Linked DNA regions of Macaca fascicularis. The protein of the gene in region 1 purifies or fractionates together with the protein of each later gene. This does not show direct contact. Links are inferred from orthologs where the notes say so. Each region holds a gene or a part of one and is shown on either strand. Other genes may lie near its edges.

Evidence for each region.
Region 2: the proteins of CDC27 (region 1) and anaphase-promoting complex subunit 11 purify together in Homo sapiens (affinity purification with mass spectrometry; 8 studies listed by BioGRID, with this or other methods). This does not show direct contact. The link is inferred for Macaca fascicularis from reciprocal best matches to the Homo sapiens genes CDC27 and ANAPC11.
Region 3: the proteins of CDC27 (region 1) and TTK purify together in Homo sapiens (affinity purification with western blotting; 3 studies listed by BioGRID). This does not show direct contact. The link is inferred for Macaca fascicularis from reciprocal best matches to the Homo sapiens genes CDC27 and TTK.
Region 4: the proteins of CDC27 (region 1) and MAD2L1 purify together in Homo sapiens (affinity purification with western blotting; 29 studies listed by BioGRID and IntAct, with this or other methods). This does not show direct contact. The link is inferred for Macaca fascicularis from reciprocal best matches to the Homo sapiens genes CDC27 and MAD2L1.
Region 5: the proteins of CDC27 (region 1) and NEK2 purify together in Homo sapiens (affinity purification with mass spectrometry; 6 studies listed by BioGRID and IntAct, with this or other methods). This does not show direct contact. The link is inferred for Macaca fascicularis from reciprocal best matches to the Homo sapiens genes CDC27 and NEK2.
Region 6: the proteins of CDC27 (region 1) and CDH1 purify together in Homo sapiens (affinity purification with western blotting; 4 studies listed by BioGRID and IntAct, with this or other methods). This does not show direct contact. The link is inferred for Macaca fascicularis from reciprocal best matches to the Homo sapiens genes CDC27 and CDH1.
Region 7: the proteins of CDC27 (region 1) and CDC26 purify together in Homo sapiens (affinity purification with mass spectrometry; 12 studies listed by BioGRID and IntAct, with this or other methods). This does not show direct contact. The link is inferred for Macaca fascicularis from reciprocal best matches to the Homo sapiens genes CDC27 and CDC26.

What each region holds. Positions count from the first base shown.
Region 1 is NC_088390.1:68,162,410-68,167,003, reverse strand, and holds the start of CDC27 (cell division cycle protein 27 homolog), read left to right. Parts: upstream 1-1,684; 5' UTR 1,685-1,807; coding exon 1,808-1,834; exon of another isoform or gene 1,835-2,061; intron 2,062-4,594. UniProt on the Homo sapiens protein: Component of the anaphase promoting complex/cyclosome (APC/C), a cell cycle-regulated E3 ubiquitin ligase that controls progression through mitosis and the G1 phase of the cell cycle.
Region 2 is NC_088390.1:88,277,576-88,280,995, forward strand, and holds the end of anaphase-promoting complex subunit 11, read left to right. Parts: intron 1-2,458; coding exon 2,459-2,604; 3' UTR 2,605-2,807; downstream 2,808-3,420. UniProt on the Homo sapiens protein: Together with the cullin protein ANAPC2, constitutes the catalytic component of the anaphase promoting complex/cyclosome (APC/C), a cell cycle-regulated E3 ubiquitin ligase that controls progression through mitosis and the G1 phase of the cell cycle.
Region 3 is NC_088378.1:95,143,641-95,148,214, reverse strand, and holds the start of TTK (dual specificity protein kinase TTK), read left to right. Parts: upstream 1-1,439; 5' UTR 1,440-2,152; intron 2,153-2,525; 5' UTR 2,526-2,643; intron 2,644-3,267; exon of another isoform or gene 3,268-3,279; 5' UTR 3,280-3,281; coding exon 3,282-3,420; intron 3,421-4,574.
Region 4 is NC_088379.1:125,166,386-125,169,385, forward strand, and holds part of MAD2L1 (mitotic spindle assembly checkpoint protein MAD2A), read right to left. Parts: intron 1,083-3,000; coding exon 962-1,082; intron 1-961. UniProt on the Homo sapiens protein: Component of the spindle-assembly checkpoint that prevents the onset of anaphase until all chromosomes are properly aligned at the metaphase plate.
Region 5 is NC_088375.1:69,485,744-69,490,296, reverse strand, and holds the start of NEK2 (serine/threonine-protein kinase Nek2), read left to right. Parts: upstream 1-1,460; 5' UTR 1,461-1,608; coding exon 1,609-1,704; intron 1,705-2,543; coding exon 2,544-2,761; intron 2,762-3,346; coding exon 3,347-3,587; intron 3,588-4,553. UniProt on the Homo sapiens protein: Protein kinase which is involved in the control of centrosome separation and bipolar spindle formation in mitotic cells and chromatin condensation in meiotic cells.
Region 6 is NC_088394.1:64,908,746-64,912,603, forward strand, and holds part of CDH1 (cadherin-1), read left to right. Parts: intron 1-925; coding exon 926-1,153; intron 1,154-3,858.
Region 7 is NC_088389.1:44,823,935-44,828,512, forward strand, and holds the start of CDC26 (anaphase-promoting complex subunit CDC26), read left to right. Parts: upstream 1-1,730; 5' UTR 1,731-1,924; intron 1,925-3,860; 5' UTR 3,861-3,913; coding exon 3,914-3,972; intron 3,973-4,578. Other genes in the region: PRPF4 (U4/U6 small nuclear ribonucleoprotein Prp4), read right to left, coding at 588-765, 1,533-1,559. UniProt on the Homo sapiens protein: Component of the anaphase promoting complex/cyclosome (APC/C), a cell cycle-regulated E3 ubiquitin ligase that controls progression through mitosis and the G1 phase of the cell cycle.

The DNA.
Region 1 (4,594 bases):
ACAGTTAGCACTGACTCCCTAGGCATGTGAGTGAAGCCATCTTGAGTCTTTCAGCCCTAGTCAAGCCAATGCTGGTGATGTTCTATAACTGTGTGACTGTCCAGTATGGCAGTCACTAGCCACATACAGGGCTACTGAATCCTTGGAATGTGGCTAAGGCATCTGAAGAACTTCATTTTTCATTTTATTTTAACTTAAACTTTAAATTGCTAATGATTACTTTCTAGGCCAGCATAAAAGGCTGTTACCACTCAAATCATCCAGCATAATACCACTGAAGCAACTGGGTACAGGGCAGCCAAAAATCACCTTAGCACCTGCCCTCTGAGGGGCTGTAAGTACATATACAGTGACAAGAGAAGGCGGTGGAAAAAGATGCAGTGTAGCTCTGTCAGCCTTGTTTTTAAAAATGGAAGAAAAAATATCTCCCTCCAACATCACCCAAAGGGAAATTTCCAAGCAATGGAATATATCATGAGTCTCACATCTAGCCTAGAGAACTCCTGACTAGAAGAGTAACCTTCAAAAACCGTTTTTCTCTTCTGCTGAAAAACAAAATTTAAACAGTTCCCTAGTTCACTCTCCTTCGGAGGAGAGGAAGAGCAGAAAGGAAATACAAGAGAGTCTACATTGCGTGCTAGACACAGCCACACTTGTAATACATCAAATTCCCTTAATCCTTTTTTTTCAAACTAAGCAAACACAAGTTCAGAGAGGTTGTAATTTGCCAAGGACCTATGACTAGTTAGTGCTAAAGATACAATTCAAAATCAGGCCTCTGAATTTCCTACCCCCTACTCTTCCCACCACAGTGGAATGCCTCGCCTGTCAAAAATAAAAATTTCTAACGGCCTATTGAGTTTTTCCATGATCTCTTCACCTAAGTAACTATTTCCAATTAATGCCTTCTCAGCAGGCTGATCTCATTTTTCCTTCCTTCACTTTCCTATACTTATTTTTCCTCTGATTCTACCCATCCTTCAAACTCCAGTTTAAACTTTTTTTTCCTTCCATAAAACTTTCCTCATCTTAACACAATTTCCCTCTCTGAATTTTTATATTACTTATAATAGGCACCACATAATATAGCGTTCTCTGTTACACTGCTTTTCCCTTAAATAGACCTTAACCTCCTTGAGGACAGAAGCTATCCTAATATCTTTGGAGTGGCAATCTTTCCAAATTTCTTTAGCTTTCCCCAGAGCCGTGAGTAGATACTTCTGGAAAGGACGAATGATCTAAACTCAATAGACAAATACTTGTTGATTCATTAAAGTCTGCCCCAAACTCTGCTGTTTCACCCTTTGCTTTATAATCTACAGCACATCAATTAACCCAGAAGGGCTGAGTGGCGAATCCACCCTGCAGCCCCGCCACGTAACGCTCCCGGGCCGCTCAGTCACGCCACGCCCAGCCTGCTGGTTGCCGATTGGGCGTGGCCCAGCCCTGGGACGGCCGATTGGGCGTGGTGTGCGTGACTGAAGGCGTGGCTGAGAAGAAAACCTACGCTTTGGGTTAGACTCGGTAGTTTCCGGGAATCTTCGACAATTTCCGGCAACGATTTTTCTCTCTCGTCGACCCACCTCGGGTATTTCCGACCCCTTTCGGGCTTTTCCGTCTGGCTCCCGCTCGGCTTTCTCCACTTCGGGAATTTCCGTGTCCCGCTCGGAAGCACTCGGCAATCGCTCGGCCTCCCCCATTCCCCGGTAACGGTCGCTGGTGAGTTTAAATGAGCCGGGGCTGGCCGGGCCGGAGCCGCTACCGGGGGGGCCTGAGGCACTGCAGAAAGTGGGCCTAAGCCTCGAGGATGACGGTGCTGCAGGAACCCGTTCAGGTAATGATAACCCTCTTCTCTGAGGCTTGGCTTGCAGCCTCAGTCGGGAAGCAGCGTAGGGCCACTCCGCGGCCTGGTGCGGCCTAGGCCCGGCTGCTTCTACCGCCTCCCTTGCTGCCGAGTCCTGCCTATCTTCCGTCAGTTCGGAGGCCTTGCCCGCAGCCTAAGCCGTGTTACCTCTGGCCCTACGTTACTTCACCCTTAGTGTGAGCGGCTTCGGCGAGAATAACCGTCTTTCCCGTCCGAGCCAACGTCCGGCCAGCCCTTCCTGTCAGCCCAGGGGCCTGGCTTGACTGGGGTTGGGAGATGAGGGGCCGAAAACGCACCCCAGGCGCTCTCTTGCCTAAAAGATGATCGAGAAGCACATTTGATCGGAGCTTGTATGATCTTCGCGATGGTAGGGCAAGTTTGCGGAGGTTTTTTTATTTTTGTCTTATGTGAGAGAGTGGAGGGAGAGTAGGATCGGTATCTTTAATACTAATTTCTATTTTGGTAACAGACTTCCTCTCCCACGTTTCCTTTCTCGGTGAATTTCCCACCGGACAATGATGGTTTGAGAAGACAACTCCAAGCCTCAGTGCTGAGGTGCAAGCACCAATACCAGGGGAGGAGGTGGAAAGGGCATATCTGGGTTGTTTTCATCCTCTCTGATGGGGATCAGGAGCATTTTGTTGTGCATGTTTATAAGGCATTCAGGAAATGAAAGACAAATAGTGGTGTTTGTGTCTGTTTCACTGCCCTTACACCAAGGTATGCTTTGACGCACAGTGCTGTGTTGCATTAAAGGAACCCTATTGGATTTTAAGTCTGTGATGCAGTGCCAAGTCATTTTCCCCTCTGACATCTGGAGAAACTGAATCTTTTGTGCCTTGGTAATGGACCAGGTCTGGGAGACTTCCTCCCACCATGTGATCTTTGACTTGATCAGAATTGACTTCTATCAACCACTGTCATTGAGTCTTGGACTTTATTTTGAAGTTATAAAGCAAACCGATTTTTAGAAATTCCTTCATATTGCCCTTAAAAGGCTTGAGGTATCAAATAGTAAATATTTTATTATGTCACTGCTTTCATATTTATTTCATTTTTCTAAACAGCATGAAATACTCATTTCTTCTAGTTTGGCTTCTTCTCCAGCTGTTTACATATAGCAGCTATTAGTGTTTGAATTAATAAAACGTTAAGATTGTATCTTATGAAATTTTCCTGTCTGTAAGTTGTATCGGTTTTTCTAGAGCTATTTCTTTTTACCAGCATAGTTTCTTTTAAGGCTTTTTTTTATTCTGGCTGTAGATGAGGTAATTATATAATTTTTTAAGGCCTAACATGAACTTAAATAGATAAGCAGATTACTCAAGTTATTTAATTTCTGTTGCATATTCTTGTAATTTTGTTTTAATAATGATTTTTTTTTTTTTTTTTTTTTTTTTTTGCCTTCTCTGGCCCCAGAAGTCTTCTAAAGTGATAAACTAGTTGCACTGATAGACGATAACCACCATTTAATAATAATTTCAGACTTTATAAAAGCATGGAAGGCCGGGCGCGGTGGTTTACACCTGTAATCCCAACGTTTTGGGAGGCCGAGGTGGGTGGATCACCTGAGGTCAGGAGTTCAAGACCTGCCTGGCCAACACGGGGAAACCCCGTCTCTACTAAAAATATTAAAAAATGAGCCGGGCGTGGTGGTGGGCGCCTGTAATCCCAGCTACTCGGCAGGCTGAGGCAGGAGAATTGCCTGAACCCAGGAGATGGAGGTTGCAGTGAGCTGACATGGTCCCGCTTCTCTCCAGCCTGGGTGACAGAGTGAGACTCCGTCTCAAAATAAATAAATAAATAAATAAATAATAAAAGCATGGAAAAGAAAAGGAATATGTATCCTATTTCTAGATAGTACCCATTAGGTTTCCTATTTGCCCTTAAAGTACTCTTAGCAGTAACACACTTCAATATTTTTAAGGCTTAAATGTCAAATTTGCTTCTTTTTCATACTAGCATTGTCCATTAGATTTTTGAGATAGTGGTAGAAAGTTTTAGGATATAACTAGGTAAAAATTTTGGTTGTATAGTATAAGAAGAAGCCATTCAAGAAGGGATTTGGAGCAGTGAGAAGAACAAGCAACTTTAACTACAATGATAAAGATCAATGATCAGGGATAGTGCTGCAAATGGGAAAGAATTAGGAAGAGAATAAAAATAGGACAGACACATAAGATACTGTCTTTATTTAAAAAAAAACAAAAACAAAAAACTATGATGACTGATTGCATGTATTTGGAAAGCAGTGAGAGTAAGTTGGAAAATTGTTCTTTCTTGGAATGCCTCAGAGTTGATGGTATTACTAGGCATAGGAAGAAGTTCACAGAAAAGATGAACAACTGTTTTCTGCATTTTTTTTTCTTTAAAGTTTTAACGTAGAATGGCCAGGCTGATATACCATATATGCCTAAATTAAAACTCCATCTCAAATTACCACTTCTCAGAAGAGTATTACTTTATATTTGAGTCCTTATAAAAGTCTCAAATATGAGGCAGAAGTTCTGTCAGTTCCTTTATTTTTAATAGTAACTATTTGGAAAGACACACTAGGCTAAGTGACTTCAGTGAGAGCTTTTTGGAAAAGTCATCTGATGAAATTGGTTTTTTAAAAAGAAGCAAAGAGATTTTATATAGATTTAGCAATTATTCCCGGGTGAAGCAAGACTTCACAGGAGTGTTGGATGAAGTTGTAAATAAGCCTTTCAAAAATTGATTTAATAAGCA
Region 2 (3,420 bases), about 20 Mb from region 1:
TCTTTAGGTGAAGTTGAAATGACTGAATCTTAGTACAATTTTTTTTTTTTTTTGAGACAAGGTCTTGCTCTGTCACCCAGGCAGCAGTGCAGTGGCAAAATCATAGCTCACTGTAGCCTTCAATTCCTGGGCTCAAGTGATTCTCCCACCTCAGCCTCTCAAGTAGCTGGGACTGTAGGCAGGCTCCACAATGCCTGGCTAATTTGTTTTTTAAGTTTTTGTAGAGACAGGGTTTTGCTGTGTTGCCAAGGCTAGTCTTGAACTCCTGGGCTCAAGGGATCTGCCTGCCTTGGCCTAGCAAAGTGCCGGGATTACAGACGTGAGCCACCATGCCTGAACAAAACTACATAAATTTTTAATTTTTTTTTTTTTTTTTTTTTTTTTTTTGTGGAAATGGAGTCTCACTGTATTTCCCAGGCTGGTCTCAAACTCTTGACTCTGTCCTGCCACAGCCTCCCAGAGTGCTGGGATTATAGGCGTGGTGCCTGGCCAGTACAAATACTTGTTATTCTAGGCTTAACTTTTACACTGGCTCTAGCTAAACAGAAATCTTATTATTCAGGAATTAATCCTCATTTAATCAAATGGGTAGGGTGTAATATTAGGAAATTATTGATTGACTCTGCCTGATTGGATTTGTACTTAATAGCTAATTAGGTTAATAACTAGGCATTCACAAGGCATGGTTTTGTTTGATCCCTTTTAAATTGCTCTTAAGGATGTAACAAAGACAGCACGGGGTGCTCTGAGGGCAGTCACTCAACTTCTGGAGCAGCAGGTTAACTTCTGAAATTCCTCCAAACCATGTGTCCACGCCTAGTCTGGCTGCATCTGTGGGCCAGATGTGGGTGGTGAATCCTGTGGATTAGAGGCGGCACTAGGCAGCCCCCGACTGACTGCAGTGGAGGGTCCACAGGCAGCCTGCAGAGCCCGGCCTGCACCATGCCAGCTGGACCTGTGATGGGACATCCAGAGGGGTGCTACCCTGAACTCTCAGCATCTCTCCACTGGCACAGTGCCTCAGACTTTGTTAAAATGGGGCCTGTTGGCTGCACACTAAGGAGTTGAGAGTCTGATTTTTGGACCTGCTGATGGTTAAGTTATAGTGAGTCAGTGTTAACGTGCAAAGCGTTTGACAAGTCTAATGTGCTTCTGGGCTAAGCAGCACCAGGTTTCTTTTGCTAAAATTGAACTCCTTTGAAAAATTCAGAGTGGCTAAGTTCAACAAAGACCGTGGGAGCCCGAGGCTGGTAAACAGTGAGTCTATCCCGCATCCCAGAGGACTCTTGTGGCAATGCAGTTTTGCGGAGAGGAGTTTTAATTTAAAGAAATGCAATCAGGAGATCAGCAGGTCCTTGAATGAGTCAGCCTCAGTGCATCTGCGGACTCATCAGACACCCCAGGCTGGCTTCGGGTGGGGAACGCACTAGAACGAAGCGGCACCTTTGTCTAACGGGGCCTCTCCTGCGCACTCAGACCCTCTCCTCAGGGGGCTCGCAGGCTTCGCTCTCATTTGAAAGGGGTGATTTCAAGCAGAGTTGTGCTGAGGCTAGAAAGCCCCCATGGGCAGGTCCTCCCAGGGCTGGGAGTGGGCATGCTGTGGGGCCGGTGCCGCCAGGACAGGAGGGCGGCCACGAGCTCCAGCTCCACAATGCCAGACCGACCCTGCCACGGGGCTGGGGCTGGGGCTGGGACTTGCTGTGCTTTGCTGGCAGCAGCTGTTTCATGGGGTTTTCCAGGCTCTTGGAGATCAGGGACACTTGTTTCTCTTGATCATGGCTTATATGAGTATCCCTCTCTGTCAGGCCCTCTCCATGGAGAAAGCATTTCTAGGTGTTTGGGCTGGTGCCCGCAGCCTGTGCCTGTCCTGGGAGGCAGGGCCCATCAACATGGCGTCCCCAGTGCCCGGGCGGCACCCCGGATTCCTGAAGTCTAGGGAAGGGTCTTCTAGGTCCCCAAGCCCCACCCCTCATGCCCTTGATCAAGAGACCAGTTCACTACTCAGATGTGTGTCTCCTTGGTGCCTTGACCATTCATGTGACCTTTTTGGCATCACAGATCAAGTGTCTGCAGGTGGGCTCAGGGCCTGTAGGTCAGACGATGCCCTTTTTCCCCAGCCTCAAGCACGGGACAGTGGTCTAGACCAGAGTGCCTCCTCCCGGATGCCGCCTCCTCAGCAGGGTCCCTGGGCTCCCCGCTGAGCATGATGAGCCTGAGCCTGGGCGTGGTTGCCTGGGGTGGAGGCCTCATGTCTGGCATAGTTGCTGGTCTTCGCCTGGGGGCAGGCTGGTCAGGAGACCGATTGGGTAACTCTCCTGATTTCGGCTTCTGTGAAACATGAGAGGCTGCAGGGCTGGAGCCACTGCCCAGGGTCCCAACCTGCACCCCTGCCTGGCTTGTCACATGCTCTGTGTCCAGCCTGGTCATGCCTGTCCTTTTCCCCGCCTCCCCTCTGTAGGCAAGGTGCCTGGCGACGACTGCCCGCTGGTGTGGGGCCAGTGCTCCCACTGCTTCCACATGCACTGCATCCTCAAGTGGCTGCACGCGCAGCAGGTGCAGCAGCACTGCCCCATGTGTCGCCAGGAATGGAAGTTCAAGGAGTGAGGCCCGGCCTGGCCCTCGCTGGAGGGGGTGTCCCGCGGCCCCTTCCTCATGCTGGCGCTGATGGCTGCGGTAGCTGCTGCTGGGGACAGCGCCCCTGGGCTGTAACAAGGTGGAAACAAGGGCTGGAGCTGCGTTTGTTTTCCCATCACTATGTTGACACTTTTATCCAATAAGTAAAAACTCATTAAACTACTCAAATCTTGCTGGAGGCCGCTGGGTGCCTGTGTTCTCAGCATATTGATGCGGTCTCGGTGTGTTTTGATATGAAAACTCTCATGAATAAACATCTCCGTGAAACGCTGTCAAGGCACTCATCAAACCCTGAGTCACAGCTGGGAGGAGAAGGCGCGGGATCAGACGGTAGGGCCTGAGGCATGCTCTTGCCTGCTGGATGGCCGGGCGGCCCTGGACCCTCCCTCGGGCTGGCTCTGAGGGACTCTGGCTGTGCACAGCTGGCAGCTGCTGCTTGTGGTACCCCCAGACTGAAGGCCACCATCTCTAAGCAGGCGTCCGTGTTCTCACTGGGACTGTCTGCAGCTCCTCGGTGGAGCTGGGCCTCCCACAGTGTAGGGATCGGTGTCCTGACACTGGGAAGTGTGTCCACACATGTCTGAGGCTTCCCTGCCTAGGAAAGGGTGGCCCTGGGAGGCTCCTGTGCTCCCCACAATTGTGGGAAGGGGCCACTGGGGGAGCGGCAGCCCTGGGGTCTCAGGCTGCTTCTGGACAGAGCGCAGGCTGTATCTCTAGTAACCTGGGGAGCCCTTGGCATTCATGGGGCCAATGCCCTGTGCCCAGTGTGAGCCTTTTGACACTTCC
Region 3 (4,574 bases), on another chromosome or scaffold:
CTTACTCAGACACTTTCATTGGAAATACTTCATCTGCATTTGCATCTCACAAAATTTACAGTTGAAAAATTAGTTTCATATACTTAGGTTGTTCCAAGTATACTTAAAAGTCTTCCAATAAATTCATGACTAATGCAAGTTTAGAAAAAATTAAAAAAATTACTTTAAAAAGTTTTAAAATAATCCCATTAGATATCAGTTTTCAAATTTAAATCTAAATTTAATCAATTAAGGTTAATTAATTTAAAAATTCAGTTCCCAGTTGCACTAGACATATTCAAGTGCTCAACAGTCACTGACCATCATAAGGACTCTTGGTTTTATTCCGAGCTAGAAAGGGAGCACTGAAGGGTTTTGAGCAAAGTAGTGACATAATCTGATTTAAGATGACTTTGCTATGTCAGAGAATAAATTGAGGTGAGGCAAGGGCAGAAGCAGGGAGACCAGCCAGGAGGCTACTGCATGTAACATCAGGTAAGTGATGAAGGTGCCTTGGACTAAAGTGGTGGCAGTGGAGGTGGGGAGAACTGGTAGGAGTCCAGGAATCTCTTGTGCTAGCCCTGACTCAATCTGCTTATGAATTAGATAAGGGATCTGGATGACACAAAGGTTTTGAGGCTAAAAAATTTAGGATAATGAATTTGTCTTTTTAGATTTTGTAAAAAACATGTTTGGGTAGGAATATCAGGGGCTTGGTTTTGGACATTTTGAGTTCAAGATGCGTATGAGACATGTAAGTGAAGATAATAAGTAGGCAGTGGATATCTGAGTATGGAGTTGAGGAGAGCTCAGCTGGTGATAAACATTTGGGAGCCATCAACATATAGATGGTATTTAAAGATAGAAGACTGAAGGAGACTACCAAACGAGAGTACAGAAAGAAGTGTTAGGGTGAGGTCGCCCAGCAACAGTATTTTCAGGAAAATGCAAGCTTTGAGATCAGGCCGCAAACAGATCAACGAGAATTGAAAGAATAATAAACTCTTTCCAGGCAAAAGCAGCATTAGATGCAATGGTGCAAAGGTAAGTGATTAGCCAACCATGGTATAGCAAGTCATTTCTGCTCTGCTGAAGCAGAAATACCAGCTAGCTGACACAGAAAGATGCATTAAGTGATTGAGAAGGGCTCTCATGCTGACTGGGTGACTATCCAGAGCTGGGAATGTGAGGGTTCTAAGGACAGCTTTAGAGTTAACAAGTGACAGCTGCAGTTAGTTTCCTATACATACACAAAACCAACCCGTCCTACCACCGAACATATGTCATAATGCTGGCACAACAGACACATCCCTTTTAGTTTTGCAGACGAGGAGTAACTGTTGCCCTGGACCACAAAGCCACTTAGCAGCAGAGCCTCGCACCCGCGAAGATTACTAGGGAGATGTTTTTACCCCTGAGGACACCTGAGCCCTTAAGTGGGGCAGGCTCGGAGGGAGGGGGGCTGATAAGGCGAGTTCAGGCAGGGCAATCATGATGGGCGCTTGAGTTCTGCGCAGAATTTTGACAAGGGGGAGGGTCCTGGCTTGAAGATAACGCAAGGAGTCATTTAAGGATAATGGAAGGGCATAAGCGGAAGCGTAAGGATAAAAAGCATTGAAATTCTTGAGCTGGCGGCAGGGCTGAACGTAGCCCAGTTAAAAGATCCTTTCTTGCCACATCCTCTCTAAGCCAGGCTGTGAGTACCGCGTGGAACGAAGGAGAAGGGTGGCGGTGAGGTCAGTAAAGAGCCGGCCCAAGGTGCATCTTTTAGGTCCGGATGATGGGAGCAGCCGTCCCCGCCCCTATATTCCTCTCACCAGGTAGGTTTGCCCGGGAGTGGCTACCTCCCAGGCAGAAATTCCGCCTGGTTAAACTGGAAAGAGCAAGAAAGCCCGCCCACTGGCGCCCGGAGAACGCCTGCAAAGTGCCAGCACCCTACCAACCCAGGAACCTCACGGGTGCGAACGCCGCCGCGGGCTCTTCCGGGGCGGGCCTCGCCCGACGCAGGGGGAGGGGCGGCCCCGTCGCACACGAACCAATCACGACAGACGCTTCTACGTGGCTAGCATTGACCAACTGGAGACCGTGGAGATAGCGACGGGGAAATTCAAACGTGTTTGCGGAAAGGAGTTTAGGTTCCATCTTTTCATTTCTTCAGCGCCGCTTCCAGTAGGTAAGTTCTCACCCACCGGCGCACCGGCGTACTGAGGAACGGCCGCAGCCGGTGTAGGGGCTCATTGTCAACGCCGGTCGGTGAGGGGTGGGGCGAGGTGGGGGCAGCTTGCAGCTGGATATGCGACGCGGCTAAACAAGCTGGAGGGGGAGGGGAGGCTCGGTGCCTCAGCGCGTCTGGCCGGTGGGGTGATGCTGGAGGTTTTGTTGAGGAAGTAAGAAGTGGGTGTGGCCCACGCTGGAAAGAAGGGGTGGTGGGGTACCTGCGCACAAGATCGTTTTCCAAGGACGATCTCTCTTGTTTTGCGGGTTGGAACTGGGAAAGAAAGGGGTGGCCGTGATCTGACAGTTACCTTTCAAACCTCTCTTAAAAGGTGGAGTGATACCTTGCTGCAACTTTATGACTTCTTCATTGTTAAATCCGAAGACGGGGCAGCATTGTTATCAGTCACACTGAGCTGGTGTTTGAGAGGCACAGAGATACGATTAACAGTAAGACTGCAGACACTTTATTGAACAAACACCACCACCATGCAGATAAGCAAGTGCTCAGTACCAGTACAGTAGTTTCTTAGTGCTGGATTAAGGTAGCAAATCATGATTCTGCTAGATATGCACAAGAATAAACCTGTGGATTTCTTAATTATCAGTAAAGCCCCATCATATTCATATTTTGCTTTGAAAGCACTTGCACTGTGAAGATTTACTCACGTAAAGCAGGCGAATAAAAAAATTGTTATTCTCGTTGCCAAATTCTTTGCCTGTGTCACTACCAGAATCCAAGCAATCTTTATGTGTATGTAGCTTCCAGAATCCAAGCAAACACTCCATCATATTTTTTTAAGTGACACTAAATTTGCAGATTTCTAGAGTGATTTCTAGAGTATGACGTCATTGATGTTATATTGGGGGGAAAAGTGTACTTGGCCTATGAAACCTTGCTGAATAAATTACAAAGATGTGTACCTTGTTGTTGTGCACTTAGCTCCATTAATACTAGCCTAGTAATAGCTGCGTTTAGATGTGTTCACAAAACGAATGCTTTAGTCGTCTGGGTTCTAAAAAGCTAGCACATTTTTTTTCTTTGATGCTAAATAGGAATTATGACTAGTTCAGTTTTTTTCTTAGAAATGGAGTCCGAGGATTTAAGTGGCAGAGAATTGACAATTGATTCCATAATGAACAAAGTGAGAGACATTAAAAATAAGTTTAAAAATGAAGACCTTACTGATGAACTAAGCTTGAATAAAATTTCTGCTGATACTACAGGTGAGTTTTTCTTTTCTTTTAAGTTATTAACTGTTTGTTGGGTGTCCTCTAAGGTAAGGAAGTAGTACTAATCACTTTATAATTTACTCATGTGTTTATTGTCTTTCACCTCCACTAGAATGTAGGCTACATGAGGGCAGGGTTTTTATCTGTTATATCCACAGAACTTTGGTGTCTGGCACATGGTAGGTAGGTACTTAAGCATTTATTGAACAATGATTAATGGGTGAAGGTGCCCAGAGTTTAATACTCTAGCTCTTCTAAAAGTATTAGCTCAGAAGCCTGATTCTTTACTGTATTTCAAATGGTTGGTCATTTGAATGGTGACCTTTGGATAATTTTGTTACATGTATACTAACCATTAAATAGATGAGAAATTGAAAATAAGTGGAAGAACCTGTGATCTAATTATGGTGGCTGACTGTGTTCACTTTGAAAAAAACCTAGAAAATGATAGTTTTGGTGTTAAGCAAAATCTTAATAGAGTATAATTGTACTTAATTATGTCACACTAACAAAGGTTGTACATCAAGGCAATTGAGTATTTTAAGTATTGAGGAAGATTCAAAGGTGCTTGAAACTATAGTTTCTTTCTAGGTGAGAATTTATATATTCACTATGCTACACTGTAATGCATGCTGGGCATCATAGGAATACTAGCATGATAAAACACAAATGTTTTATTTGTTGATTAGAGGAAGAATAGGGTCCTCAGGCACGAGGAATGTATCTGCAAAGCCACAGATGAAAATGTGTGTTTTAGACATTTCACAGACTAATTTCTTAGGAAAGCAATAGGAGGTAAAAATAGAAAATTAAAGTCAGGCCAAATTAAATTTAAAACGACAAAGCAAAGTTATGCATGCACTATATTTTAGTAGAAAGTAGAAACAAATTTTATTTGTAAAAGTAAAGGTGTAGGCTTTGTTGAAAGTGACTGAAATTTATAGAAGGAATGATAGCTTCTCTGGAAATCTGAATTTAATAATGCTTAGTAATAACCAAAATATCCTGAACAGAAGACTGACATTCAAATTATCTTTTTAAAAAACTAACACTGAAGAAACTAAAAAGTACATTACACTGTGAAAATTTTGTCTGAAGATTATTCTTGCTGTTTCTGTTGGTTGGGGTTCCACAGAGAGAAACCTGAC
Region 4 (3,000 bases), on another chromosome or scaffold:
TTTAAGTTATTTCAAACATAGTGGTAAGATTATTTATTTGATTAAATGCTCTCAACATCAAATAAGCAGTGCTTTAAAAAGGAGGTTTGTAAAAACTGTGAATGAAAGTATCCTTTGGACCTATAACCTAGTAGGCACAACATACATCCTCATTACTTCATTTATCCTGCCAGGCATCTTTTAGAGCTGGTCTTAGTGTCAGGTCATTTAGTATCAGATGACTAGAAAATCTGCCAATCATTTCAAGTTCAGGAAACTTCAGCATCTCTTGAAATAAAATAACAAATGCTATCTAAAATATTTAATTGGTATAATCATTTTGGCACTTTTAGTAATGCCTAAATGTCTAAATTCCTATTTTCTCAAATAAAACATTAAATTGTGTATCAAATTATTTTATAAGCTAAAAATTTCCTAAAATAAACCAAAGCCTTCAGAAGCAAACTACATTTCACTGTAAGAAATGGTTCCCAGTTTATAGAAAAGCATGCCTAGGACAATGCTAAACATTAGAGTATAAAGACAGACACTTCTCTTCCAGGGAGTCTGGAACTTTCAGAAATTTATCAAGTGTCTTAGGAAGTAGATGGCATTAAAGGAAGTACAGCAGAGCTACATCATAAATTGTGTGAATCTAATATAATTCCTTATAGTTAAAAACATCTTAGAACAATTCATTAAATGGTTCATCTAGTATATCATGTGTAGTTTTGTATATACCACCATAAATACTGTTTGAAAATTGCTGATTTAGACTAAAGGCAATTATATATATACAAATCAATGATATGTTAAACCGACAATTCTTTTCCACAGGTGACTGAGGATATCTTAGAAAATATAAATTAGAAACAAACTATATTTTATATAAAACTAGTTCAATATAATTAGAACTCAATTGGTAATAAAAACAAGTTTTGAAAAAATATATCAAAGTAGAAATAATGTAATTCCTACTTACCTGTCATCTTTTGCAGTCTTGTCACACTCAATATCAAACTGCCATCTTTCCAGGACCTCACCACTTTCAATATTTGAGATAACTACAACCAGTTTCTGAACTGAACACTTGTATAACCAATCTGCAACACATAAAAATGAAGGCATCTTTCTTGGTCCACTGCATCATAAAGTAGCTCTCTTCTCAGGTCCTACTCCCTATCCTCAGCAAATTCCTACCACTGCTATCTTGGACTTCCTCCTACGTGCAAGAAAATTTGCACCATCAATACTCTAACTTCTGTTTTCAAATTCTCAGTATCTGTACCAGGTACAGTAATTGGTGCTGAGGACAGAATACTGAACATATGGTACTTTCATCCTAATCCAAGATAAAAGCATAGGAGATGGGCATTCATCTACTCATCACACCAATAAATGACAAATTATCATTGTAATGGCTGCTATGAAAGAGAGATGTAAGATGCAATGAGAGCATAAAAGAAGGAAAATTTGAGCCACTTACGGAGGTCAGAAAAGGTTTGAGTTTAGCTCTAGGGATAAACAGCATTAAATATGCAAAAGGATAGGAAAGAAGATACAGGCCTCAAATACTCACAAGGGAAGAGCATATAACTAGAAGACTGGAAGCAGCTCACTACAAGTGCAATCAAGAAACAAACAAACAAACAAAATAAAACAATACAATCCTTGCAAGATTAATAGAAGCCAGACCACGCAAAGCCTGGTGGATCAAATTTAAAAAATATGCACTTCAAGACCAGTGAAGTCATTACTGTGTGTGAAGCAGGATGTAAAGCAATTAGTCTTGTATTTCAAAACTATCATTCTAGCTGTGATATGGAAAGTAGACTGGAGATGTTAAAGAGGGGATCTAGAGACACTAGTTGGTCCATCAGTAATTCGAGCAAGAGTTAATGAAAGCTTGTAGGAGGATAAACTGGTAGAGACGAAGCAGTAGGTAAATGTAAGAGATTTCATGGTTAAAATTTATTGGGTTTAGTCATGGTAGTAAGGAAGAAGCATGATTCAGGGACAGCTTCCAAGTTTCTTTTATTTCTGTTTGGACGGTTTAGCCACTGACAGAGAGAAAATTAAAGAGTATCAGTTTTGGATATGATCCTAAATTTAATTTTTAGTATGCTTGAGTATATGTTATCTCTGGGATAGCTACATAAAGATATAGCTGCTGAATATATGAGTCTGGAGAAAGAGGCTTTGGGATAGATATATAAGTTTGTGAGTTGACTACACAGAGGTTGCTAGTGAAGCTATACACAGGTCAGAAATCACCTATAGAGAAATTATAAAGACAGAACGGGGGCTCAGATTGAGCCTTGAAGTAATCTTGGAAATTGAAACAGCATATTCAGGAGTCAGCGAAGTTTTTGTAAAGAAACTTTGTAAAGAAAAATTACAAAAAAGAGTAATTAGTAAATATTTTAAGCTTATAGGCCACCAAGGTCTCTGTTGCTTATTTTTAAACAAACCTGAAGTGTAAAAATATTCTTAGCTTGTGGGCAGTGCAAAAACAGGCCACCTGTTGGATGCGGCCTGTGGGCCTTGTGATCCCTGGCATTTATCAACAACTTTTTATGAGTTTCACTCTGAAAAGGAGGAGACTGGGTGGTAATTTGTTCTTCCTTTAAAACTGGAGAGATGAAAACAATGGGGATAATTAAAATCAAAACACAGAAGCAGAAAATATAACAGAGAACAGGATCAAGACCCTAAAAAAGGCTAGAGGAAATGACATTCAAAACAAAACAACTGGCTAGGTGTGGTGGCTCACGCCTGTAATCCCAGCACTTTGGGAGACAGAGGTGGGTGAATCACGAGGTCAGGAGTTCAAGACTAGCCTGGCCAAAATGGTGAAACCACGTCTCTGGTAAAAATACAAAAATTAGCCGGGCATAGTGGCAGGCGCCTATAATCTCAGCTACTCGGGAGGCAGAGGTTGCAGTGAGTGGAGATCACGCCACTGCACTCCAGTCTGGGTGACAGAGTGAGACTCCAAACAAAAAACAAACAGAACAACTT
Region 5 (4,553 bases), on another chromosome or scaffold:
ATGGATACCGATCTGTAAGAGGCACAAAAATAAAAAATGATGCTAATTAACATAGCCATCTGCAGTGCCTTACATAACTTTTGAAACCTAAAATTGTCCTATTCCCCTGAGGTAAGACAGTACCCTTGAATGTTAATTTAAAAATTCTCCTGGTTGGCAATTCCAGTTATCTTATGTTATATTCAGTGCATGTAGTAAGTCCCTTATTTTAACATAAAGAGCTTTTAAATTCTTATTAATAGAAAATCAGGTTTCTTTTAATCCTATGCCAAATAGATATTTAAAGAAAACTGGCCTGTTTATGCATTGCCAAATTATTAGCTTTCTGGTAATGTACGTATTTCTCCAACAAGCCCTGGATGGAGGCCTCTAGGTGCTCCTTCCCTGGTAAACATGGGACTGTTCATTTGGCTGGGTAAGCTGGGAAAGTTGGTTTGTGTGGGTGCCTAACAAAGAATCTGTGTTCAATGAAGTATTGTCAATAGGGTGAATTATGTGTTTGGCACACATAAACGGGACAAGATGTGTAAAGTGCTTGGTCAGAGAGCGACTGTATTTCTTCTTCTTTTTTTTTTTTTTTTGGAGACTGGGTCTCACTGTGTCACTCAGGCTGGAGTGCAGTGGCGCAATCTCTGCTCACTGTAACCTCTGCCTCCCGGGTTCAAGCAGTTCCTCATGACTCAGCCACCCAAGAAGCTGGGATTACAGACATGCACCCCCATGCTCGGTTAATTTTTTTTTTCTTCATTTTTAGTAGAGACGGGGTTTCGCCATGTTGGCCAGGCTGGTCTTGAACTCTTGGCCTCAAGCAATCCCAATCCGCCTGCCTCGGCCTCCCAAAGTGCTAGGATTATAGGCGTGAGCCACTGCGCCCGGCCTAATTTTCGTATTTTCAGTAGAGACGAGGTTTGCTATATTGCCCAGGCTGGTCTGAACTCCTGGGCTCAAGCGTTCCACCCACCTCGGCTTCCCAAAGTGCTAGGGTTACGGGCGAGGGTGAGTCACGGCGCCCAGTCTAATTTCTAATTTGTATTCAGCTCTCAGCGTGTCCTCAACGTGACCCCACCCAGGTTCAGGGTACTGGAACCTGAGCGAGGAAGGCGTGTTCCGGGGAGAGTAGGTAGTGTGAGGGGCCAGAGTGCAAAGGTCAGAAGGCATTTGGTGGAAGCTGTGTGCAAAGAAGCCTGAGGGGAGGTCCTTCGATCTCGGTTACCTTGGCGATCTCTACCAGAGGGTTAGAGTTGCCAAGAGGCGCCTGCTGCCGCTTCCTTTCTCCCGCCCTCCCTTTGGTTTAGCTCCGCCCCCTGCTCCCACAGGTTAAAAGCAGACGCCGACGCGGCTGCCTAGTGACACTTTTCCCAAGATGCCTAGGGTATTGTTGTGTTCTTCTTAGCCAATCAGAGAGGCGAAGCGGGCCCACCGCCTGCCAATAGACTGCGAGATCAGGGCCCGCGACAGTTAAACGGGGCCGAAGGCAAGGGTGACTGGTTAGCGCTGCTCGGGGGCTTCTCCGTGCTGGTCCCTGAAGCTCCCGGTCCCGGTCCCTGGAGCTCCGCATTTGGGGGCGCAACCTGCGTGAGGCAGCGCGACTCTGGCGACTGGCCGGCCATGCCGTCCCGGGCTGAGGACTATGAAGTGTTATACACCATTGGCACAGGCTCCTATGGCCGCTGCCAGAAGATCCGGAGGAAGAGTGACGGCAAGGTGAGCGTGGTCCCTTCCCTGTGCCAGCCCCTGCTTAGGGGCGAGCGCCCTGCGCCACCGAAGGGAACCGAGAGGGCTGGTGAAGTGGGTGCCCGGAAGACTCAGCCGTCTTTACTGAGTCTGCATCTGACAGCCTGTCCTGGGTCGCTTAAAGGATGGGAGACCGCGTCTTTTGATATATGTATTTCCATCTTTTCCCGTTTCTCTCCCCATTTCTCTCTTCTGTTTTGGGTTGCTAAGGACCTTCCATTGGTGACACGTAGCTAACTCCTGAGCTGTTTTTAGAGCTCTAAGAGTGGCCCTCTCAGACACAAGAAAGGGGCAGGACCACCAGAACCCGAAGCTTTGTATCTGCAGTCAGACTCCCTCAAAATACCCATTATTCGGATTATTGGATTCATATTTCCCAATGTATACAGGTAGACCTTTTACAGAAAGTAATATTGGACAGGAAACTGCCTGGCTGCTTTTCCAAGGTGTCTCATCCTGGGAAAACACGACTGAGGTGGAATGGGGCAGGGACTTTGACCACCTCCACCCCAATTTTGACTAAAGTACCTTTTTGCCAACTTCCCACTAACCAACTGAGGGTAGGGGTTGGGGGAGACCTCATGTGCCTTATTCCCCTTTATCTCCCTACAACATCATTTACTGCTTAGAAATTGAAAGAAGATTATGGAAGTAAACTCACAGTTCTTTAAGTTCATTGAACTAAATTAGATAATGACCTTGATTGTAGGATATAATTAAAAGGAAGGTTATTTTTTAAATCTTGGAACTTTCATTCTTTGTTTTTGAGCGTAATGAGTTCATTCATACCTTGGAAATTCTTATTTTAGATATTAGTTTGGAAAGAACTTGACTATGGCTCCATGACAGAAACTGAGAAACAGATGCTTGTTTCTGAAGTGAATTTGCTTCGTGAACTGAAACATCCAAACATCGTTCGTTACTATGATCGAATTATTGACCGGACCAACACAACACTGTACATTGTAATGGAATATTGTGAAGGAGGGGATCTGGCTAGTGTGATTACAAAGGGAACCAAGGAAAGGTAAGCATAATCTTTTAAAAATGTAAGCTGAAATTAGGTCTACTTTCATTTATTTTAAGCATCTTGTTTTAGGATCAGTAATATGGAAGAGTATACTTGCATTTGTTTGGTAGGTCCATAGTACTTTAGAAAATTCCCGGTGAATCAACACCCATATTTTATATCAAAATAACAATCTATAGGCTGAGTGTGGTGGCTCACACCTGTCATCCCAACACTTTGGAAGGCCGATGCAGGAGGATCACTTGAGCCCAGGATTTCAAGATCAGCCTGGGCAACATAGTAGGACCCTGTTTCTACAAGAATTAGCCAGGTATGGTGACATGTGCCTGTAGTCTAAGCTACTTGGGAGGCTGAGGCAAGAGGATTGCTTGAGCCTGGGAGGTCGAGGCTGCAGTGAGCCATGATCGTGCCACTGCATTCCAGCCAGGGTGACAGAGCAAGGCTCTGTCTCAAAAAATATAAATAAATAAATAAATAATTTATTTCCCTATTAGTACACTGGATAATTTATATCATCCCATCTTGGCAACGATTTTTTTTTTTTTTTAGAAGTTATATGCTGTATAACTGCTTTGGTTTCAGGCAATACTTAGATGAAGAGTTTGTTCTTCGAGTGATGACTCAGTTGACTCTGGCCCTGAAGGAATGCCACAGACGAAGCGATGGTGGTCATACTGTATTGCATCGGGATCTGAAACCAGCCAATGTTTTCCTGGATGGCAAGCAAAACGTCAAGCTTGGAGACTTTGGGCTAGCTAGAATATTAAACCACGACACGAGTTTTGCAAAAACATTTGTTGGCACACCTTATTACATGTCTCCTGTAAGTATTTCAGAATTTAGATACTTTTTAAAACATCTTTTATTTTTGTTTTTTTGTTTGTTTTTGAGACAGAGTCTCGCTCTGTTGCCCAGGCTGGAGTGGAGTGGTACGATCTCGGCTCACTGCAACCTCTGCCTCCTGGGTTCAAAGGATTCTCTTGCATCAGCCTCCCGAGTAGAGTAGCTGGGACGACAGGTGCATGTCACCATGCCCGGCTAATTTTTGTATGTTTAGTAGAGACAGGGTTTCATCATGTTGGCCAGGCTGGTCTCAAACTCCTGACCTCAAGCAATCTGCCCACTTCAGCCTCCCAAATTGTTGGGATTATAGGCGTGAGCCACCGCTCCCAGCCAAAACATCTTTTAATGTTAAGCATTCTGAAGCAGGGAAATTGAGTTTTCTGTTTGTTTAAGAATTGAAAATACTGTTATATTTTTCCACATGGACCACCAGACCAATAAAGTCTATGAGTTTTTGTTTGCTTCATGAATTATGTGTAATAATGTAAGTATGATGAAGACAGATTCCTACTCTAAGGTTTGCTACTGTTTGTCATCTCTCAGTGGGTTCAATTTTTTGAGCATTCATGCAAATTAAAGCATATTCAGTTCAAGCTTTTATGGAATGATTACAATGCATTAAACTTAAGGATTACAAAAATGAAATGGATTTTGTCCCTGCCCTCAAGAGCTGTTTCCAATGTGTAGGTCCTGGTCATCTGCATCAGACTCACTTGGAGTATCTGTTTAAAATGCAGAGTTCTGGGTGCTAAACCAAACCCAAATCCGTCGAGTGAATTTCGATCTCTGGGTAGGTTCTTGAACTCTTGTTTTTTGGTTTTTTTTTTTTTTTTCTTCAATATTGTACTTTTTATTTTAGACTTTGCATTTTAACAGACTCTGTAAATGATTCTTGTGCATGCAGAATCAGAGCTCAGGAAGTTTGCTCACTGAGATAGCATGTTTT
Region 6 (3,858 bases), on another chromosome or scaffold:
TCTCCACTTGCAACCTCTGGGACCATCTTCTCTGCCACCTCCTGCTCCTGGGACCAAGCAACACCGTTTTTGTGCTTAGCTCCTTCTTGCCAGCCAATCATGAGCTCCCAGATTTGTCAGCACTATTCTACCGAAGTGGAGGCAGCTGTCAACTGCCTGGTCAATTTGCATCTGTGGGCTTCCTACACCTACCTCTCTCTGGGCTTCTATTTCCACCGCAGTGATGTGGATCTGGAAGGCGTGTGCCAGTTCTTCCACAAATTGGCCAAAGAGAAGCACAAGGGCGCTGAGCGTCCCTTACAAATGCAAAACCAGTGTGGCGGCCGCACTGTCTTCCAGGACATCCAGAAGCCATGTTAAGATGAATGGGGTAAAACCCTGGGCGCGATGGAAGTCGCTCTGGCCCTGGAGAAGAACCTGAACCGGGCACTTTTGGATCTTCATGCTTTGGGTTCCGCTTGCACAGACCACCATCTCTGTGACTTCCTGGAGAGCCACTTCCTAGATGAAGAAGTGAAACTCATCAAGAAGATAGGTGACCACCTGACCAACCTCTGCAGGCTGGCCAGCCTCCAGGCCAGGCCGGGCGAAAAGGTTCACTCTCAGGCACAATCAGGAGCCTACCGAACCCAGTGACATCTGAAGAGCCCCACTCTGCCTGAGCCTCTCCCTCCAGCTACTAGGCAGCTTTTTTTAAGCAACCCTAGAACCCTCTCCCAAGCCTTAGACCAAATGGAAAAAAAAAGAAAGTACATACCTTTTTACAGAAAAAAAAAAAAAAAAGTACATACCTAGATAAAACCCAAGCAGCTCTGCTCTCTTCACTCAAGGCACTCAAGTGCCTTTAGTTCACTAACAATTTTATTCTGGAATGAGCTTTTTTTTCTCCCCTGATCTCATCATTTCTTTTTATTGCTTTCTCCAGCCCAAGAATCTATCATTTTGAAGCCAAAGATAGCCTTAGAGGTGGGTGACTACAAAATCAATCTCAAACTCATGGATAACCAGAAGAAAGACCAAGTGACCACCTTAGAGGTCAGCGTGTGTGACTGTGAAGGGGCCGCCGGCATCTGTAAGAAGGCACCGCTTGTCGAAGCAGGAATGCAAATTCCTGCCATTCTGGGGATTCTTGGAGGAATTCTTGCTTTGCTAAGTAAGTCCAGCTGGCAGGTGACTCAGCCTTTGACTTAAAAAAATGGAGGAGGTTTATTTCCTGGAAGTTATTTTTGTTCTTATATTAATAAGGATACAGGTTAGCTGATACAGGAAAGAGACTCCCAAGTTATGCTAGCCTCCATAAAATAGAAGTTTGTCTCTTACTGAACATTTCAGAGGTAAATGGTCTAAGATGGGAAGGCCATGAAGTCAACAGGGGACCCAGGTTTCTTCTGTTTCTTTTCATCCTTCAAGTCAGGCATCCCAGGCTTGAGTGCATACAAATCATCTGGGCCTCTGGTAAACTGGGAAATCTGATCCAGGAGGTCTGGCATAGGGCCACAGATTCTGCATTTCTTTTTTTTTTTTTTTGAGGCTGAGTTTCGCTCTTGTTGCTGAGGCTGGAGTGCAATGGCGCTATCTCTCAGCTCACTGCAACCTCCGCCTAACGGGCTCAAGCAATTCTCCCGCCTCAGCCTCCTGAGTAGCTGGGACCATGGGCATGTGCCACCACGCCCAGCTAATTTTGTGTTTTTAGTAGAGATGGGGTTTCTCCATGTTAGTTAGGCTGGTCTCGGACTCCCGACTTCGGGTGATCCACCCGCCTCAGCCTCACAAAGTGCTGGGATTACAGGCTTGAGCCACCGCACCCAGCCAGATTCTACATTTCTAACCAGCTCCCAGGGGGTACTGATGTTGCAGTTCCTTAGACCATAAGCAGAGTAGCAAGACCTTGGGGGCTGCCCTCATCAGCGTGTTCTAAGCTAGCCAGCTCACCACCACCACCTCTACATTCCATCCTAGATGGGGGAAGGGGATAAGAGAGGAAGTGGAGGCCAAATGACTAGAAGTTGCATATATCACCTCCACTTACATACCACTGGCCCAAACACAGCCACACCTAGCTGCAAGGGAGCCTGGAAGTTTCTACTTGCAATTGAAAATTGGCATGGAGTAGGGGTGGAGTGCAGGATGAGCAGTGAGTGTCAGTGACTAAAAGGATAAAGGAGAAAAAGAATGCTGAGGAAAATTGACAGTTTCTGCCATAGTCCTTAAGCCTGTTTCCATTGGAGCCCACTTGGAGTGAGCCCTAGGGGTGACACAGGTGCTATTACGGTCAAGGTAAATACTTTTGTCATTCACACGCAGAGAGAAAATACTGAATCTATTAAAGGAATACATTAGCTATGAAAACAGATTATGTGCATCGAAAGACAAAGTATCCATATGGAGTGCACTACATCGGAACTCTGGTAGGGCTTTAAACATATGAATGATAGAAGAGCAAGCGAATGATTCTCAAAGCAAATGAGAGCAAGTCAGTTAGAAACCTTTGACCAGGTATGGTGGCTCATACTTTGGGAGACCAAGGTGGGAGGACTGCTTGAAGCCAGGAGTTTGATACCAGCCTGGGCAACAAAGCAAGACCCTGTCTCTACAAAATGAAAAATATATCTTTTTTTTTTTTTTTTTTTGAGACGGAGTCTGGCTCTGTCGCCCGGGCTGGAGTGCAGTGGCCGGATCTCAGCTCACTGCAAGCTCCGCCCCCCGGGTTTACGCCATTCTCCTGCCTCAGCCTCCCGAGTAGCTGGGACTACAGGCGCCCGCCGCCTTGCTCGGCTAGTTTTTTGTATTTTTTAGTAGAGACGGGGTTTCACCGTGTTCGCCAGGATGGTCTCGATCTCCTGACCTCGTGATCCGCCTGTCTCGGCCTCCCAAAGTGCTGGGATTACAGGCTTGAGCCACTGCGCCCAGCCGAAAAATATATCTTTTTAAAGAAATGTTTAAAGATCATAAATAATTAGTGACTGCAAGGAGTGGTCCAGTTCATGAATGCGTTTGTAGTCAGCGTAGTCAGAAAAAGCTGTTAATTGAGTCTCAAGGACAGTTTTGTGGAAGATATAAGTGGTTAGGCCACAGGGGCTGGTAGAATTCCAACAGGCTATGGATATTCAGGAAGGTTCCCCTCCTAGCAAAGCACAGCAGAGGCTTGAGGAGACTCCTAGGAGGACAGAGACCAGGCCAAGCTGGTGGGAATGGAAAAAGATTTTTGGAGGGAGCAGTGGGACTGAATCTAGGGCTTTCCATTTAGATTGAGCATGGGTGCCATTGATCCTGCTGCTGCTGCCTCAGTGGACTCCAGGAGAGGGTGCCTTTCAATCTTCCAGAAATGCTTGCTGGGCATCCCATTTGCTTCTGCCCCCTCCTAGTGTTCTCCCAAAGTTGAAGAGAAGGATACTGCTGTTGAGAATTGAGCATGCCTTCTGGACTTTCATCCTGCCAGGCTTTACATGGCTTTACTGTGCCATGAGATTAGATTAATTCATCATTGTCTTGGGCAGTGTAACACAAGCCCTGCCTGCCCACTTCCTAGTCAAATTACATTTGAGTGGCCTGGTCTGCTTTTGGGATAGTGGTTACTGACTAGTACATTCATTTTAAGGGGAATCATTTTCTCTTCTCTTCTCTTCTCTTCTCTTCTCTTCTCTTCTCTTCTCTTCTCTTCTCTTCTCTTCTCTCTTCTTTCAGGCAAGGTCTCATTCTGTGGGCCAGCTGGAGTGCAGTGGAGTGATCTCAGATCTCATCTCACTGCAGCCTTGACTTCTGGGGCTCAGGGGATCCTCCCACCTCAGCCCCCCGGGTGGCTGGGACCACAGGCATGAGCCACCACACCCAGCTAATTTTTTATATTTTTTTGTAGAA
Region 7 (4,578 bases), on another chromosome or scaffold:
CCACTCTAGCTGCAAACCAATGCCAGAACTATGTTAGATCTCCAGAAGACAAATGGAATCAATCTGAATCCAAATGTACACTGAATTTTTGATAAGACTGCTCACTCATAGAAGCAAAACTATGTAACACATTGTAAGAAAAAGGCTCTCTGCATGATTTTAAGGGGGTAGGCAAAATACAGCCTTATAGATGCAAGTTTAAGAATTGAAATTCTGCCAGGCGCAGTGGCTCACGCTTGTAATCCCAGCACTTTGGGAGGACGAGGGGGAGGGATCACAAGGTCAGGAGTTTGACCAACATGATGAAACCCCGTCTCTACTAAAAATACAAAAATTAGTTGGGCTTGTTGGTGTGCGCCTGTTATCCCGGCTACTCCGGAGGCTGAAGGAGAACTGCCTGAACCCGGGAGGCGGGGGTTGCAGTGAGCAGACATCGCGCCACTGCACTCCAGCCTGGTGACAGAGCGAGACTCCGTCTAAAACAAAAGAACTTAAATTTTTTGACATTATAAAACTGATGATATTCAAGTTTAGGAAAGTATTCATTACACAAAGAGGTAAAGATGGGTTCACAATTTGCATCTTACCAGAGGTTATATTAATATTTCCAGCTTCGATCCCTGCTTTAAGTCCTTCTTTCCCCAAAATCCCAGACTCTCCTTTGGCCAGACGCTCCCTCTCCTTCTCTTCCAAACTTCCATAATAGATGTGTGGTTTCTTCACAACCGGAGCAACTAAGTCATCGGGTGTTTTAGTTTTGGTTGCCTGCCAAATCAAAAATCTGGATTAAATTGAGGTTTAATCTTGGCAATTTACCGGATTTCCCGAGGATGAAGCTCGCCCTGAGTTTCACAGTCCTATTTCCTTCATAATTGAAAGGACAAATTGGACACTACTTAAGATGTTCTTCATCGATTTGAGGTGAAGGGGAGGGTGTTTCAGTCCCTCACTTTAGCTGACGGGATTGATAAAACTAGTGAGGTTCTCTCGAGTATTTTCATATGAAAGGTTTGCTCTGGAATCTGTTTACTTTATTCTGCTGGAAACGTGGAATCTCGTGTTTTACGATGTATCCAAGATTACTGCTCATCACTGGGGAAATACTAAGGATAGATGAAATAACCAACGCGGTGCTAAAGGATAACAAGTTACAACATTACGAGTGTATACATTTCAAACGTTTCTAGACGTGAGGTAGAAGTTAGTAGGTCTCATTAAAATTTTGAGATCTGCCAAACGCATAAACCTTGGCCAAGACACTTCCCTATTTCAGAGCACCGTTACTGGATGAGTCGGAAGAGATGTTTGCCCTTTGGGGCTGTAGTGGGAGAGGTGCAAATAAGCTACAGTCCACGAAAGCGCTTAGGGGTCAGGAAAACGGTGGTCCGCTGTGTAGAACACCACTGAGTCCCGCAGCCTTCCTCCTCAGCCCTCCACCGCCTTCTCTCGCTCCCTAACGGCCCCTTCCCGCAGAGATCCTCTTCCCCCTTCGCGCTCCCTGCCAGAGTGAGTTGCGATCCCGGGCTCTGTACCGTGGAGGAGGTTCGCGAGGAAGCCATGCTGGGCTCTGGAGCCGCGAGGCCCCAGCGAAATCCAAGCTCTCCGTTTCAGACCTTCCACCGCGCGCCCAGCAGAGCGGAAGTGCGTCACTGACCGGAAGTGTGTCGCAAACAGGACATGGGCCAAGAGCCGTCGCTGCGCCCGGAGCGGCGCGGAGCATGATGGAAGTCGTAGTAGGAAATGGCGTCGTGGCATTGAGGGGCATCCCTCCTAGAACCTCCAAGAAAAGCTCGCGGAAGACGAGGTTCTGCTGAGAGAGAGGCTCCAAGCCGTCTGGGAAGTGTAGTCCAGTTGGCGTAGCAGTAGTTTCGTGGAGGGGAGCCGAGGTTCCGGGAAGGGGCTGAGCCGACTTGAAAAGAGGTAGGTAAGTCGACTCGCGCGGCTCGGGGCTGAACTCTGGAGCGAGTCGAGGGCTTCCGGGGCCCGCTGTGCCTCCCCGGGCCTACGGGGGCGTTTACGTCTTCTGGGAGCCGAGGACCGTGTTACCATAGAAACCCTGGGATCCGAGGTACAGGCCTGGAGCTAGGGGACGAGGACTGTTCTCTTCCATGGTCCGGAAGTCTTCCCAGGGGCCACCTATGAGCTTGATGGCTCGGCGGTGGATTTGGGCTGCAGCGAGAGATTAAGCTAGAAGAGCCCGCTGGTGCCAAAGTCAAATAAAGACCCGGCGGAGGAGCTTCGGCCTGATTTTGTTCATTTGTCTTCAGCCTGGTCTTTGTATCAGATTGAGAGTAAGATGATGGTTAGGAGGGTGTCAGGGAACTGTACGTCTCTCTGCCCTGCTGGATGCTGGGGTATTAGAGACGAACAGCATAAGGTTTTTATCCCCACGTGGACGGTGGGAGATCCTCAAAATATTGACGTTTCCGTAGCTGGCCAGATCCTCATCCAACCCCCTAGAAAAATTACAGCCATAATAGGTGTTATTTATTGAACATTTATTAAATGCCAAGTAATGTTCCAAGAGCTTACTCTGCATTACGTTATTCACTTCCTACAACAGCAAAGTAGGATACAGATGAGGAAACTAAGGCCTAGTTAGAAATGAAACTAATTGTTCAAGATCAGTGGCGCAGTGGGATTAGAACCTGTGCCCTTTAACCTCTACAGCCAGCACTTTTAACTGCTACTCTATACTGCTCCGTAGTGGCCAGTTTTTCGCAGTTTGCAGAAAAGGTAAAATGTATAGTAGACCTTTTTTTTCCTTTTAGGTATCCCTATCCCTCTCTTTCCCTCTTTGGAACTTTGGCTTTCTCTACCATTTGTCTGCATTGGAATCTGGTAGAAGATAATGCCTGATTTAGTACAAAGCAATTTGAAATGTAATGTGCCAGTGTTTTGTGTTGATAATATCGCCTGTAATATCCTAAGCTTCATGGGAGAAGGAAATATTTCTTCCTTTGTATACTTCACAGTCCCTAGTTTCATCCTAGATACATGTAATAATTTGTATCTCTATATACTTTCAAGGAGTTTTCACTTCCATCATTCTCACTTAATCCTTATCATGTTGACCTGTATAATTTTTATAGGAGGCTAAAATTATTAACCAAACTGAACAGCTTGCTTCGATGACTTCTTTATGTGTGAAATAGGAATCATTTTGTCAACTTCACAGGTTTTTGTGTTAAGAATGTAAAGAATGGGAATGGAAAAAGAGCACAGTGCTCAAGAATGATCTCACCTTTTATTCAACAAACATTTACTGACTGTTTTTATAGATACACTCTAGGGGATGCTGTGGAGAATATACAAATGATGCCATCAACAGATATTAAACTCAATTGGGGGAGTTGTGTTTTCTCAAAAACAAAACAAAACAAAACAAAATGGTTTTTGTTAACACAGTATTACCTCGGGATTTCAGGCTGTGGAATGCTCTTTTGAACCTCTTTTCTTCTTCTTTTTTTTTTTTTTCTGAGTTGGGGTCTTATGGTGAGATCATGGCTCACTGTGGCCACCTCAAACTCCTGGGCTCAAGTGATCCTTCCATCTCAGCCTCCTGAGTAGCTAGGACTACAGGTACACACTACCAGCCTAGCTAATTTTTTTACTTTTTTGTAGAGACAGGGTCTTGCTATGTTGCCAAAGCTGGTCTTGAGCCTCCTTGTGCACTCTTCTCTCTGCCTGCCCTTCAGAAGTCAACTAAGATATCATTTTCTCCAGGAAGGCTTGCCTGACATCCTTGTCCACCCCACACTCAGCCCAGACTGGATTAGGTGCCTGTGTGATGCCAGTGCCAGTATCCTCATTAGGGTTCTCGTTATATGATATCATAGTTTTCTTTATTTTCCCCACAGATTATGACTGTACCTTTTAATTCTGTAGCTGGAGCACAAGAAGTGTTTGTTTAATGAATGACGTACACACATTTAGGATCTGTTTGGACGCTGAGGATAATCCTGTGAATTGGTGAGTTGGAGTCTTCATGAGATTTAGCAAACTGATTTTAGCATTCAGGAGTGATCACAAATCTCTGACAGTTCTCACGTAGAGTAGATTAAATTCACTGGTTTGTCCACTTTCTCCTCTAACTATACTGAGATGTGATAGTTTATTCTTTTAGCTAGAGTATTTCTTTGAATGTGACTAGAACATGAGATTAAAGTGATAGTTTGCTATTTTAAATTCTTACTGAAAGAGTTTTTGATTTTACAGAGCTGTAGATCTCCATAATGTAATAAAAATGTAATAATCATATACCTAAAGACTTTAGAAGTTGGCTGGGTATAGTAGCTCTTGCCTATAATGCCAGTACTTTGGGAAAATGAGGAGGGAGGAACACTTGAGCCCAAGAGTTTGAGACCAGCCTGGGCATCAGAGAGAGATCCCATTTCTACAAAAAACACAAAAATTAGCCAGATATGGTGGTGTACACCTGTAGTCCCAGCTACTCTAGAGGCTGAGGCAGTAAGATTGCTTGAGCCCAGGAAGTTGAGGCTGTAGTGAGCTAAGGTCATGCTACTGTGCTCCAGCCTGGGCAAAGAGCAAGATCCCATCTCTTAAAAAGACTTTAGA